2 linked regions of the Schizosaccharomyces pombe genome follow. The protein of the gene in region 1 interacts with the protein of each later gene in a pairwise test. Each region holds a gene or a part of one and is shown on either strand. Other genes may lie near its edges.

Region 1 (6,135 bases):
ATTAGAGAAAGTGTTTCAATTGCGTAGGTATAATTGATGAACTTATATTTCTGTCTTTTTGAAATCTACAGATACTTAAAATAGTAATTTCATATATAACTGTAAACTGCTAAACTAGTTTTCTTCTCGCCGATTAAATGTGTCGAGGCTGCTTATTCCATCTAATTAACATCTTACCATACACTCGATTTGAAAGGGTTCCTTTTATTATTGTTTATTCAGATGAAAATGGTTCATTCAGTTGATTATTTTATTGCTTTTGCTTCATTGCAACCACTTATAGCGGATTGCTTCGCATATCTATACCGCTCCTTACATGTGTTGTGATAGAGAGGTAAAGAATTTCAGACATCAATTGAAGCAACAAATTCCAATTTTAATACTTACATGATTTTGGCTTCAACTAGCTCGGGATGATATCCCATATTTTATGCCCGACACCGTTTGTCATCCGCTTAGTCGTGATACCCGTCTGCCACATAGCGAATGTCAAAGGATTATGCTACTTTACGTGAGAATGAAATATAGACTTTACACATCGCCACATGATGGCATCGATAGAGCTGCTAGTTTCAATTACTTTCAATTAACGAGTGAAAAGCGGATGTACCGCATCATCTGTTGAGCGAAATAGTCTACGTAAAATCAAATGGGCTAATTTGTCGCTGAATTAACCCAAAAGCAAAAATACGATTGCAATTCTCATTACGAAATGCTGAATGGGATGGAAAATAAATTGATGTCACAATTTCCGAGGACTCTTACAAATATTATATATAGAGCACGGGGTACATCACTATCGATTCGAATTTTCAAGAAGTAATATTTCGCACCGTAGTACTTTTTGTAAGCCGTTTTATTAAATCAGAAAGAACTCCAATTTTATTTATAAACAATGCCTGATCCTAATCGTGTTCTCGCTGGCAAGAAAGCCACCCTACACAATCCCAATGTATCACAACAAGCCAAAGAAAGAGCCGAAGACTATATAGAAAGTCATTCTTCCGGCCAAGAGACTGGTGATTATTCCGCTCAAGCTGGAGGCCGTGATCTTGATTATGAGGATCTCGGTGATTATGATGAGGATGCAGACTTTGACAACGAGGAGGGTCTAAATGTGTTGGGAGATGAGTCGGGTTTTGTTGATGATCCTATGAAAACAGGTGATTTGGTCGAAGAAGATCAACTTGAGGGCAAGAACATTGAAAATGTCCGAGGAGGTTATAAAGCTACTATGCATAATCCTAATGTATCCAAGCAAGCCAAAACCCGCGCCCAAAGAGCCCTTGAAGAAATTGATGATGAAACCCAAGCTTAATTGCTGCCCAGTTGATTACCCGTCATTGCTTTGATGTGTCTGAAGTATCTTCAGTTTTGATTTTATGTTGTTAATACAGAATTCCATAGTAATGATGAGTATACATGTTTATGATCTTATGAATATTATTTCATTCACCAGCTTTTAACTTTTGAAACCGTTGTCCTTGTAGAAGTAGTCGACACCCCATAGCATACAATTAAAACGATTCTCCTAAGATTTGCATACACAAACGTTATTGTATTTATCTTAATATCTGTTGCGTCGATATCGGCCGCCAGAACCTCTAGAGGAGTAGTTGGAGTATCTGTCCGGAGATGGTTTTCGCCTTGATGAGGAAGGATAGTTGCTACTGTGAGGATGGTTACTAGGAGGTCTTGAGGCATTATAGTTCGTAGAGGCTCCATTCCCATAACTCGATGTAGGATTATGAGTAGGTTGTGCATGCGTCATACCAGCACTCGATGTAATATTAGGGGAATTCGCTGGACTTTCACTTTCACGTCTAGAAGATGAAGGATTGTTATTTACATACGCATTAGGTGTAGCTGCACCTGAATGAACACCACCACCAGATGTATGTGTAGTATTATAGTTTGAAGATGCATGGACTGGAAAATTGCGCGAGTACCCCATATCCTCTTGTGGGCCTCCAATAGGCGGAGGAATAGGCATAAATGGAGGAAATCCAGAAGCCATCATAGCTTGAAACTCGGCAGGTGATGGTACGTTGCCAGAAGGTAAAGGACCCGGGATCTGAGCAAGACTTGCCATAAATTTTTGGGGGCTAAAGTCGTCACGCAAAGTCGTTTGTTTGGCACAGTAAGCAGCCCATGTAAATTCATCAAATCCATAGTTAAAATAATCTGAGATATCTGCACCAGGCTTGCGCCATGGTTTATCATCAAAAGACTCCAAATCAATCTCAAAAATGTTTTTACCATCAATTGTAGGAACAGCGTCAATGTCAACTTTAGGTGCAGTTTCTGCTGTCGATAAATCTTGGGGTTCTGTAGTTTTTACTTCGACAGCAGTTTTCTCTACTTGAGGTTTAGCAGAAGGTCGGGTTGAACCTAATGTTGCAATCGATCCACTAACATTATTAGTATAATCTGAAATCAATTATTTTGGTTTACATACCCTAATGGTTCTGCTCTTTCACCTGGCTTTGTTTCAATGATAAATTCAATATCCTACAAAATTAGCAGTTAGCAGTATCATTTTAATTGAAATCTTACTGAATCATCGCTTTCTTCACTTGCTTGCTCTGGTGACTTGGCATTTGACACTGTAACTCCATCATTCCGTTCCTCTATGGTTTCTCCATATAAATATTCATCCTCATCAACATCCATGTGCTGATCAGCATTTGACATAGTAAAAACCCACTTCTAAAATGTATATGGGGCAAGTCCATTCATTGACTGAGTCTCGCACCTGAAATTATGGATTCCTTCTTCTTTACCACTTAGGGCCATTAGTCCACTAAACATTGTACCGAGTTGTACGGTATATACTAGTGGACTTCATAGCGTACTTCATTTACCTGGGTAAAAATATTTTGCGCTAAAACGGGTTGAAACAGACCAACACTCGTGAAAGCCAACTTAGTGAGCCACATTGTAGTTAACACTAACAATTGAATTTGCTCTGCGAACACAGCAGTATTTGACTATACGATACCCTGAAAGCTAGTTCAATTTGAAACTTTAGATAACTAATCTTTTCCATCTTTGCTTAATTATAATATTAATCATTGATTGTGATTCTACAATTACCCTTTTTAGAAAAGATAACCTGAGTGGTTTTTCATGATAATCTTTGCATGGTATTTACACTAGGGACATTCGTGTATTAATACTTTAAGCAATGTTCGGGTTAAATAAAACACCCTCATTTGGGTCCACAGGAACCCAAAACCAAAGTATGTTTCTTTAGGTGAACAAGTCTTCAAGTTTACTTTTCGAATTTTGTGCTTATTCATATATTAACCTTTTCAGATACTGGTACTTCTGCAGGCACAGGACTTTTTTCTTCTAATACTTTTGGTAACAATACGCAGGCCAATACGCCCGCTTCGACTGGGTTTGGAGGCGTAACAGGAGGAGCTTTTGGTCAAACAAAACCTCAAACTGGTGGAAGCTTGTTTGGAAATAAGCCAAACGCTACATCTACTACCCCCGGCCTAAATTTGTTTGGACAAAACCCTCAAGCGGCACCTGGTGGCAGCCTGTTTGGAGCTTCCACTACTAAACCTCAAGCACCTGGTGGTTTGTTCAATCAGAATCAAACACAAGCACAACCTGCTCAAGCAGCCCCTACTGGAGGATTATTTGGATTATCTGGTCAAAATCAAACACAATCGCAAACACAGCCTGCTCAAGCAAATACTTCTCTTTTCGGACAGTCTAACATCGGAACTACAGGAGGTCTATTTGATCAAAACCGCCCTAATACTTCGACTTTTGGTCAATTTTCTACACAACCAGCTTCCGCTGGCCTTTTTGGTCAATCCACACAACCGTCTGGTTCAACTGGTTTTGGTTTAAGCAATAATACTCAAACTACTCCATTCTTTTCTGCAGCTCAGCAGCAACCGTCAACAACGTAAGTTAATTATTAAATTTTTTTTTCATTAACAAAAAAACAGGCAACTCCCTTCTAATCCAGCTATTAATGCAACGACGAGATACTCGAGCTTAAACGCTAATACTCAAAAATTTTTAGATGACTTAGAGTATGTGTTACCTTATGTACAAAATTTGTTCTAATCATGTCCGTAGCAAAGAAATTTTTAGCCAAATCCAACTTGCAGAGGAACTACAAACTAAGTTGGGGACTGTTTCCGAATTGGTTGAATCCGTCCCTAATGATGTCGCTGAAGTACAGAGAGTGAGTTATTTCCTTCTATTATCTCCAAGTTTTATTTGTTTCTAACTAAAATAAAGCGTTTATCTTCTGTCTCGACTGCACTTTTAATTGATTCCGACGAAATTGAAACTACGAAGCGTGTAGTTGACGAAGATACTTCGAATGCTCGCATTAGTTCACGTATTTTGGACGTTTTTAAAACACCTGGCGCAACCTATCCCTTCGCGTCAAACGATCCCCTAATGAACTACTTTGAGCAATTTACAGAAAACGCTAAGAAACGTACAGATCTGTATGCTGCCACTATTGGTGAACTTGAACAACATTTGGAGCAAGTTGAGACTACGCCACAGAATAATAGTCCCGAGGGTATGCCTTTAATTTGTAAAACTTGTATTAACTATCTAGCATTACTGAAAACTATCAAAGAGGAGCACAAATTATTCATGGCTCTTAGTAATAGATTTGCTCAAGTTCACGATGAAGTAAAGCGTCTACAAGTGAACACTTCAACGTCCTTGCCCTTTATAAGTTAATAGCGATCATTAAAGGGACTTCATAATCCTTAACATCATAAAAAAAATAAATAGATAAAAATCTCTAAAGTAGACAAATTCTCCTTAGATTAGAGTTTTCCGAACTTGTTGCATCCATGTAGTGCTTCGTGCTCCCGAAATGCTACATCTTGTATTAAAATCAATGTCCAGCATATGATAAATCGTATCTCTTGAGTTCATCGGTAAAGATTCTATCAATTGGCTTTTCGTGTTAGGGTCATTTCGTTGAGTAACGTATAAATTAAAACGTTTATCCGATGTATGCGGCACTTTCCATGGAAATCTCTTTAAAGCAATACAACAGTAAACAATTGCACAAGACCAAACATCTACAGCGCTCGGATCATATGGTTTCTGAGTAAGAACTTCGGGAGCAACATATGGTTTTGAACCGACTACACCATCAGACATCAGAGTGGTTGATTCAAATGGATAATGAAAAACAAAAGCAGTACCAAAATCAATAATCTTAACATTTAAATTTTCATCGAGCATAATATTATCTAATTTTATATCACGATGAGCAATGCCAAGGGAATGCATATAAGCCACGCCATCTAACAATTGAAAAAACATTTGATCAGCTTTTAAAGCAGAGCAATGACCTTTGGTAATAAAGGTAAAAAGATCATAAGGAACATACTCAATTATTTGTAAAATAGTATGCCTTTTGTATATAATGTCTAATACCTTGATGATATTGGGATGCCTGAGTGTCGACGCAAAAGTGTACTCTGCAATGAAATAACGTACATACCTGCGCAGTAATGAGGTATCTAATGGAGGACGAAATACTTTGGCAACGTAAATTGGCAATTTGTTTCGATCATTAATGACCCGAATGAAAGAGCTCGCTCCCTCCCCAATGACATTATTTAACTTTCCATAAGGTGTATCAGTTACGGAACATTCCGGGTTTACAACTCTCTTTCTTGATCTCGGGTTGATTCTCTTAAAGATGCTAGCATTGCTACCAGTTACTTTGTGTTTCAGCAATTTTCGAAGATCAGAAGTATGATTGTAGCAAGCAATAGGCGCCAGAGCGAAGCCGGAGTTCCGTTTTTTTATAAAATTGTCGTTTCCGTTCGGAAGGATATTAATTCTGATCTTCATCTTATCATACATGCTACTATAAAATGATTTAGACTTCTTTTTAAAGTGAAACTGAGGTGGGATATCGTTTGGATCAGAAGATGGATTTTTTCGATAAAGTCTGCTATATGGATTACCACCATTTATGCCATCATTAAGGGTAGCAAATTTCGATTCTGTGGAAGATGACTCTTCCGACATAGATGTTAAAGTGCTTGATAGTGATGAGTGAGTAGTCGATAATTCCTGTAAGCTATGAGCATGATCGAGAAGGTAATCAGATTTATCGCTCTCTTC
Region 2 (5,538 bases), on another chromosome or scaffold:
GCGTACCCTTCATACCCTTCGCACATACCCCTGGGCACTGCTTCTCTTCCCTTGAAGGGTAATTTATACCAAATTTCTCGTAGTGATGATATCAAGTCTGGAGCTCCCGTTTTAGATACCTCTTCGCTTGTAAATCCCACTTTGGCAAAGTCAGCGAGTTTGAATAACTCCTCTCTTCTCAACCCATCTTCGTCTTTACTTCGTCGTGAGGTTCCCGCCGGAAAATTAACTATGCCTGCATATCCCTACACTACCCAGTTAATGAATCATACCGCCGGAGCTGACTATGGCTTACCTCGTCTATCATCTAAACTTCCCCAGGTGTTCCCTGGTAATTACCCTCGTCTTCAGCAATCGTTGTTCCCTCGTCAAGGGGAATTGCGCTTCAATTAGTCCTTCGTTAAAAAATACTGACGTTAGACATAAGTGCCCTTCGCTTTATATGTCTTTGTATATATTCACATTTGTCGTCATGGTTGTTATTGTGTTTGTGAATTAATACGTATTCGCTTCATTTTTTAATGTCCTTTGTTATCGAATCATTCTTTGTTCGCTAATGTTGTTTATCGTTTTTCCTATTATACTTAAGTGTAATGTTTTTGGGAATATAGTACTACTTGTGCCATATTCCTTTCCATTCTTTGAAATTATTTCCTTAACGCAAACGCTCTTTGCCAATTAATTAATATTGAAAACTTTTTCGCCGCTTTGTGTTTTTCATTTGAATGGTTTGGATATCGTCTACAACTAAGTAGTGCATACCACCCATGCATTGCCAGTAATTGGTTATTTCATCTACCCTTTGATGGTTTTATATTTCTAATATGTATAAGCTGATTTCTTAATTCTGCCATACGTTTAACCATGAAGGAATTTATTTACTACTTATTTCATATCTTTCGGGCGCGAACGTGACCACGCAAATGCACGGAAGATTTTTGTTTTTATTTTTTATTCTGTTATTTTATAAACTTTATTGGGTTTTGTTTTCACTTATTGTTTTCTAATTCTAATATGTTTATGCATTCATCAAACATTAAGCATGAACGTTGTGGTCTAAACCATTCTCTTTTCAGAAGATGCCACAACTTCTATTATGGAAAATCTAAAAAAAAAGAATTATGATGATGTTTACGGGTTAGAAAAAGATTTCTTCATTTTTTTGGATTGGTGAATTTTGAGTAAAATCAACTATATCTTAGCTAATGATTGTCTTCGCCAATTTCAATCATGAAGTCAGAGTCTTTTTATTACCATGCCTTTATTTTCTTTTGGAGTCCTATTTTTGTTTGTATAATTATTACTGTACCGTTGATTGAATTTATATCCAGGGAGATTATTCGGGTTATGTTAAGTTTATTGGAACGTTCATTTAACGCACTCTTTAAGCTTCCGAATGCTTGAGTTTTTTAATTTGCCATAGAAAAAAGTTTTAATTTTAAAAAAAAAAAAGCTTTACAATAAAAATAATTATTTTGTTTCTCATATACGTACCTTTTCAACCTAACCTTAAATAACAATTCGATTCGACACAATATCAATAAACAAATGTTTTATGTGATAGCAATCCTTGTAATTAATGATTACTGACATAGAAATGCAGTATATGTTTATTCTGTTGGAACAAGTGAAGTGACCTAAGTTAGAATGGGATCTACTCCTATGTTTCCTTTTCTGGAGTTAGCTGTAGCAAAAAACACACGATATTCTAAATGCACAAATAGTTAACCAAATTCCTAAGACAAAAAAAAACGTTCTAGCATTATATAGTTTATTCACGAATTCAGTTTTAGTGATTTGGATATTTATTCGTTTTTTCATACGGTACTATAGTGTTTCAATATCGATTCTCAAATTAAAATAAAGAACTCGTAATAGAAACAATCATTGTTAACTAAATGTTAATTCCAAAAACTTTTTACATTTGATATTCAGTTATTTGTAATTAAGAACACATTTAGGACAGCCGAACGTAGTACAGTATTTATGAAACAGGGCTTGACAAAAACCAAAAATTAAATTTTGTTCCATACTAGGAATTTAATGTCTGTGGCTATTAAGTTCACTGTTAAAATAAACGATGGCTCTTTAAGAAGGCAGCAAACTCGACACGTATTCTTAAGTCCTGCTGCTTTGAATCGTCTTAAGCTTTCTCCGTCACAAGTAATTTATTTGAAACATAAAGGCGGTGAAGCTGTTGGAATAACCCAATCAGTTAAGGGAAATGGAATAGGTCCATTTGAAATATTAATTAGTCCTTTATTGGCGAAATGGGCAAACTTGAAGGCCTTCCAGCGAGTTAACATTTCACAATATGTACACCCTTTAAAAGAAGCTGAAGGAATCAAAATTGTTGCTTCATTGAGTAGCAATAATGAACCTATACCAGAGTCCTTAATAAGGAAAGAATTGCTAGAAATAAGGTATCTTCATCCAGGCATGATTGTTATGGGTGAATCACCGATGAATATGGCAAAGAGTGGTAGCAAAAATCTCAGCTCAGAGAATATGGCTACGGAAATTTTTGAAATAAATTCAGGTTTATCTGCGCAATCGGGTACTGAAGTAGGGTCCTCTCAATCTTCTCCCTCCGTGAATGAATCTGAACCAAAAGCAACAGAAGATCTCGATGAGCTTTCTCCCGGCTCTTATAAAGTTAAAGAAATTCACATTCGTTCTCCTTCAAACCTTATAGAAGCAATTTCTGATATGTCTTTAGATGAGCCTCGTATTTACAAATTTACGGCAGCTTCCAGTATGGAAATTGAAACACCTGATTTATTAAAATTACCTCATGAAGACAGAACTCAGTCTGCATACAACCAAGGAAGTGAAGAGACTCAAAACTTCGACGGTCCTCCTTCTGCAGTAACATTTTCGTCGATTGGTGGTTTACAAGCCCAAATCGCCCAAATTCGTGACATTGTAGAACTTCCGTTTCAAAATCCCGAACTTTTTAAGTTTTTTAATATTATGCCTCCTCGGGGTGTTCTGTTATATGGTCCTCCAGGTACTGGCAAAACGATGGTTATGCGGGCTGTTGCTGCAGAAGCAAATGCACAAGTGTTTACGATCGATGGTCCTTCTGTGGTCGGAAAGTACCTTGGAGAAACTGAGTCTAGGCTTCGAAAAATATTTGAAGACGCACGGGCGCATCAACCTTCAATCATTTTTATAGACGAAATTGACGCACTGGCTCCCAAACGAACGGAGGACGTAAGTGAAGCGGAGAGTAGAGCTGTTGCTACTTTGTTGACTCTATTAGATGGAATGGCTAATGCCGGAAAAGTTGTTGTTATTGCTGCTACAAACCGACCTAACTCTATTGATGAAGCACTTCGACGACCCGGACGTTTAGAGAAAGAAATCGAAATCGGTATTCCTGATAAAAGCGCCCGATTAGATATCATTAAACTGTTGTTATCAGGTGTTCCTAATGAAATTAATGATGCTCAATTGGAAGATCTAGCCTCACGAACGCACGCTTATGTTGGTGCAGACCTAGCAGCTGTTGTTCGTGAGGCTGCTTTAAGAGCTATAAAAAGGACAATTTCACTACAAAAGGACACTTCGGGATTAGACATTTTCGGTGCGGTGCAGATGGACGATTTGGAGTTTGCTTTATCGTCTGTCCGACAAAGTGCTATGAGAGAGTTTATGATGGAATCGCCCAATGTACATTGGTCAGATATTGGAGGACAAGAAGAGGTGAAACAGAAACTAAAAGAATCAGTAGAATGGCCTTTAACTCATGGCGAAACCTTCTCACGATTGGGTGTTCGACCTCCGAAAGGCGTACTTCTTTACGGGCCTCCTGGTTGTTCAAAAACAATCACGGCCAAAGCCATCGCAACAGAGACTGGATTGAATTTTATTGCTGTCAAAGGACCAGAACTATTTGATAAGTTCGTTGGTGAAAGTGAACGAGCCGTTAGGCAAGTTTTTCAAAAAGCAAGACAAGCCAGTCCATCAGTTATATTTTTTGATGAAATAGATGCTTTGACTGCGAATCGAGGAGAAGACAATAGTAGCGACCGGGTAGTTGCAGCTTTACTGAATGAATTAGATGGGATTGAAGCGCTTAGGAATGTACTTGTGCTTGCTGCTACAAACCGCCCTGATATGATTGATCCGGCACTTATGCGACCAGGTCGCTTGGATCGCTTGCTTTACGTTGGACCACCAAATTTTGAAGCAAGAAAGCAAATTGTGAAGATACAAGCTGAAAAAATGAAGTTTGCAGAGGATGTAGACTTGGATTTGATTGCGGAAAAAACGGAAGGATGCTCAGGAGCGGAAGTCGTGGCTCTTTGTCAGGAAGCTGGTCTGATAGCTATGCACGAGGATTTGGAAGCGAAAGAAATATGTCAAGCTCACTTTAAAACAGCATTATTGGCATTGCGGAAAGCCATAACCCGAGATATGCTTGAGTATTATGCATCGTTTTCAGAAAGTGTTACTAGCATTTCCTGAGAAAAAATATTATTGATATTAGGGGTTTCATTGTTTATTAATATAATACTTTTTTTCTGTGGTTTTAGTGTATTGTAGATGACATGTGTGGTTAATAAACTTCGAGTGTTTACAAAGCTAGAAATGTTACAAGTGATTGCAGAACGAAATTCACAATACATTATACATTATGCTCAATTTACTTCTACTGCACATTATCAGCATTACAAAAAATAGACCATTTCACTAAAAAAATATTGAGAGATGTAAAAAGTCATAAAACTCGTCAATTTATTTTTAAAGAGAAACATTGATATGTACTAACGTAACATGGAAGCGACAAATAGTCCACAGAAAGTGACATCGGCGATACAGTGCAGAAAAGTTAACGATATACATACGTTTTGCCTTTCTTTTGTTAGAAAAAAAGGAGAGGCACGGCCTCGTCTTAGTCGTCTCCCATGATTATCCGCTGCAGACATCTACTTCAAAAAACCCTTCAACTTGGTGATAATTTCATCTTGTGAGGAGGATGAGTTTTCAATTTCACCGAGAGTTTCCAAAACACGACCACCACTTGCACTGTTGATCTTGTTCAAAATAGCAAGTTTCTCGCTGGTGCTACCAGGAAACATATCGCTGATTTTCTTCATGGTCTGAGCCTGTTTCACTTGCTTTTCTGCACCCAAAGCAGAGCTCAAAAAGTCATTAGACTTTTCGCCTCCCTCCTTGTTGCTACCACCACTCAAGTTGTTCATAAAGTTCTGCATAACGGAAGTTGGAATTAAGGGCAGATAGATTCAAAGTTTAGTAAGTTATCAGTCTTGCAACGTTGTAGAAGATGATATCCTGAGCTAGACACCCATATATATATATATATGTGTATCTACAATACTCTTGTTACTCCCCAAACACCAATTCGTCAAAAGTAGCCGATGATTTCAGTATGAAGTGATTTATGGGTAACCCATCTCATACCAATTATTTGAAACCACTTATCTGAGAAAGCGATAAAATTCACTATTCAACATACTGCAACGAAGTAAACAATAAACTTGAAACGTTTGAAAAGCTACGATATAAATC

What was found.
Region 2: the proteins of nup45 (region 1) and SPOM_SPBC56F2.07C interact in a two-hybrid assay, tested with the Schizosaccharomyces pombe proteins (one large-scale study listed by BioGRID).

What each region holds. Positions count from the first base shown.
Region 1 is NC_003424.3:750,263-756,397, reverse strand, and holds nup45 (nucleoporin Nup45), read left to right. Parts: upstream 1-2,992; 5' UTR 2,993-3,187; coding exon 3,188-3,242; intron 3,243-3,244; exon of another isoform or gene 3,245-3,318; coding exon 3,319-3,925; exon of another isoform or gene 3,926-3,968; coding exon 3,969-4,055; exon of another isoform or gene 4,056-4,101; coding exon 4,102-4,210; exon of another isoform or gene 4,211-4,266; coding exon 4,267-4,558; exon of another isoform or gene 4,559-4,597; coding exon 4,598-4,725; 3' UTR 4,726-4,751; downstream 4,752-6,135. Other genes in the region: protein cum1, read left to right, coding at 896-1,318; iss1 (fip1-like pre-mRNA polyadenylation factor), read right to left, coding at 1,568-2,411, 2,459-2,511, 2,557-2,694; serine/threonine protein kinase Ppk8, read right to left, coding at 4,810-6,135. UniProt on the Schizosaccharomyces pombe protein: Functions as a component of the nuclear pore complex (NPC).
Region 2 is NC_003423.3:4,098,538-4,104,075, forward strand, and holds SPOM_SPBC56F2.07C (ribosome biogenesis factor recycling AAA family ATPase), read left to right. Parts: upstream 1-2,000; 5' UTR 2,001-2,043; coding exon 2,044-4,473; 3' UTR 4,474-4,687; downstream 4,688-5,538. Other genes in the region: puf1 (RNA-binding protein), read left to right, coding at 1-393; protein tam13, read right to left, coding at 4,935-5,222. UniProt on the Schizosaccharomyces pombe protein: ATP-dependent chaperone which uses the energy provided by ATP hydrolysis to generate mechanical force to disassemble protein complexes.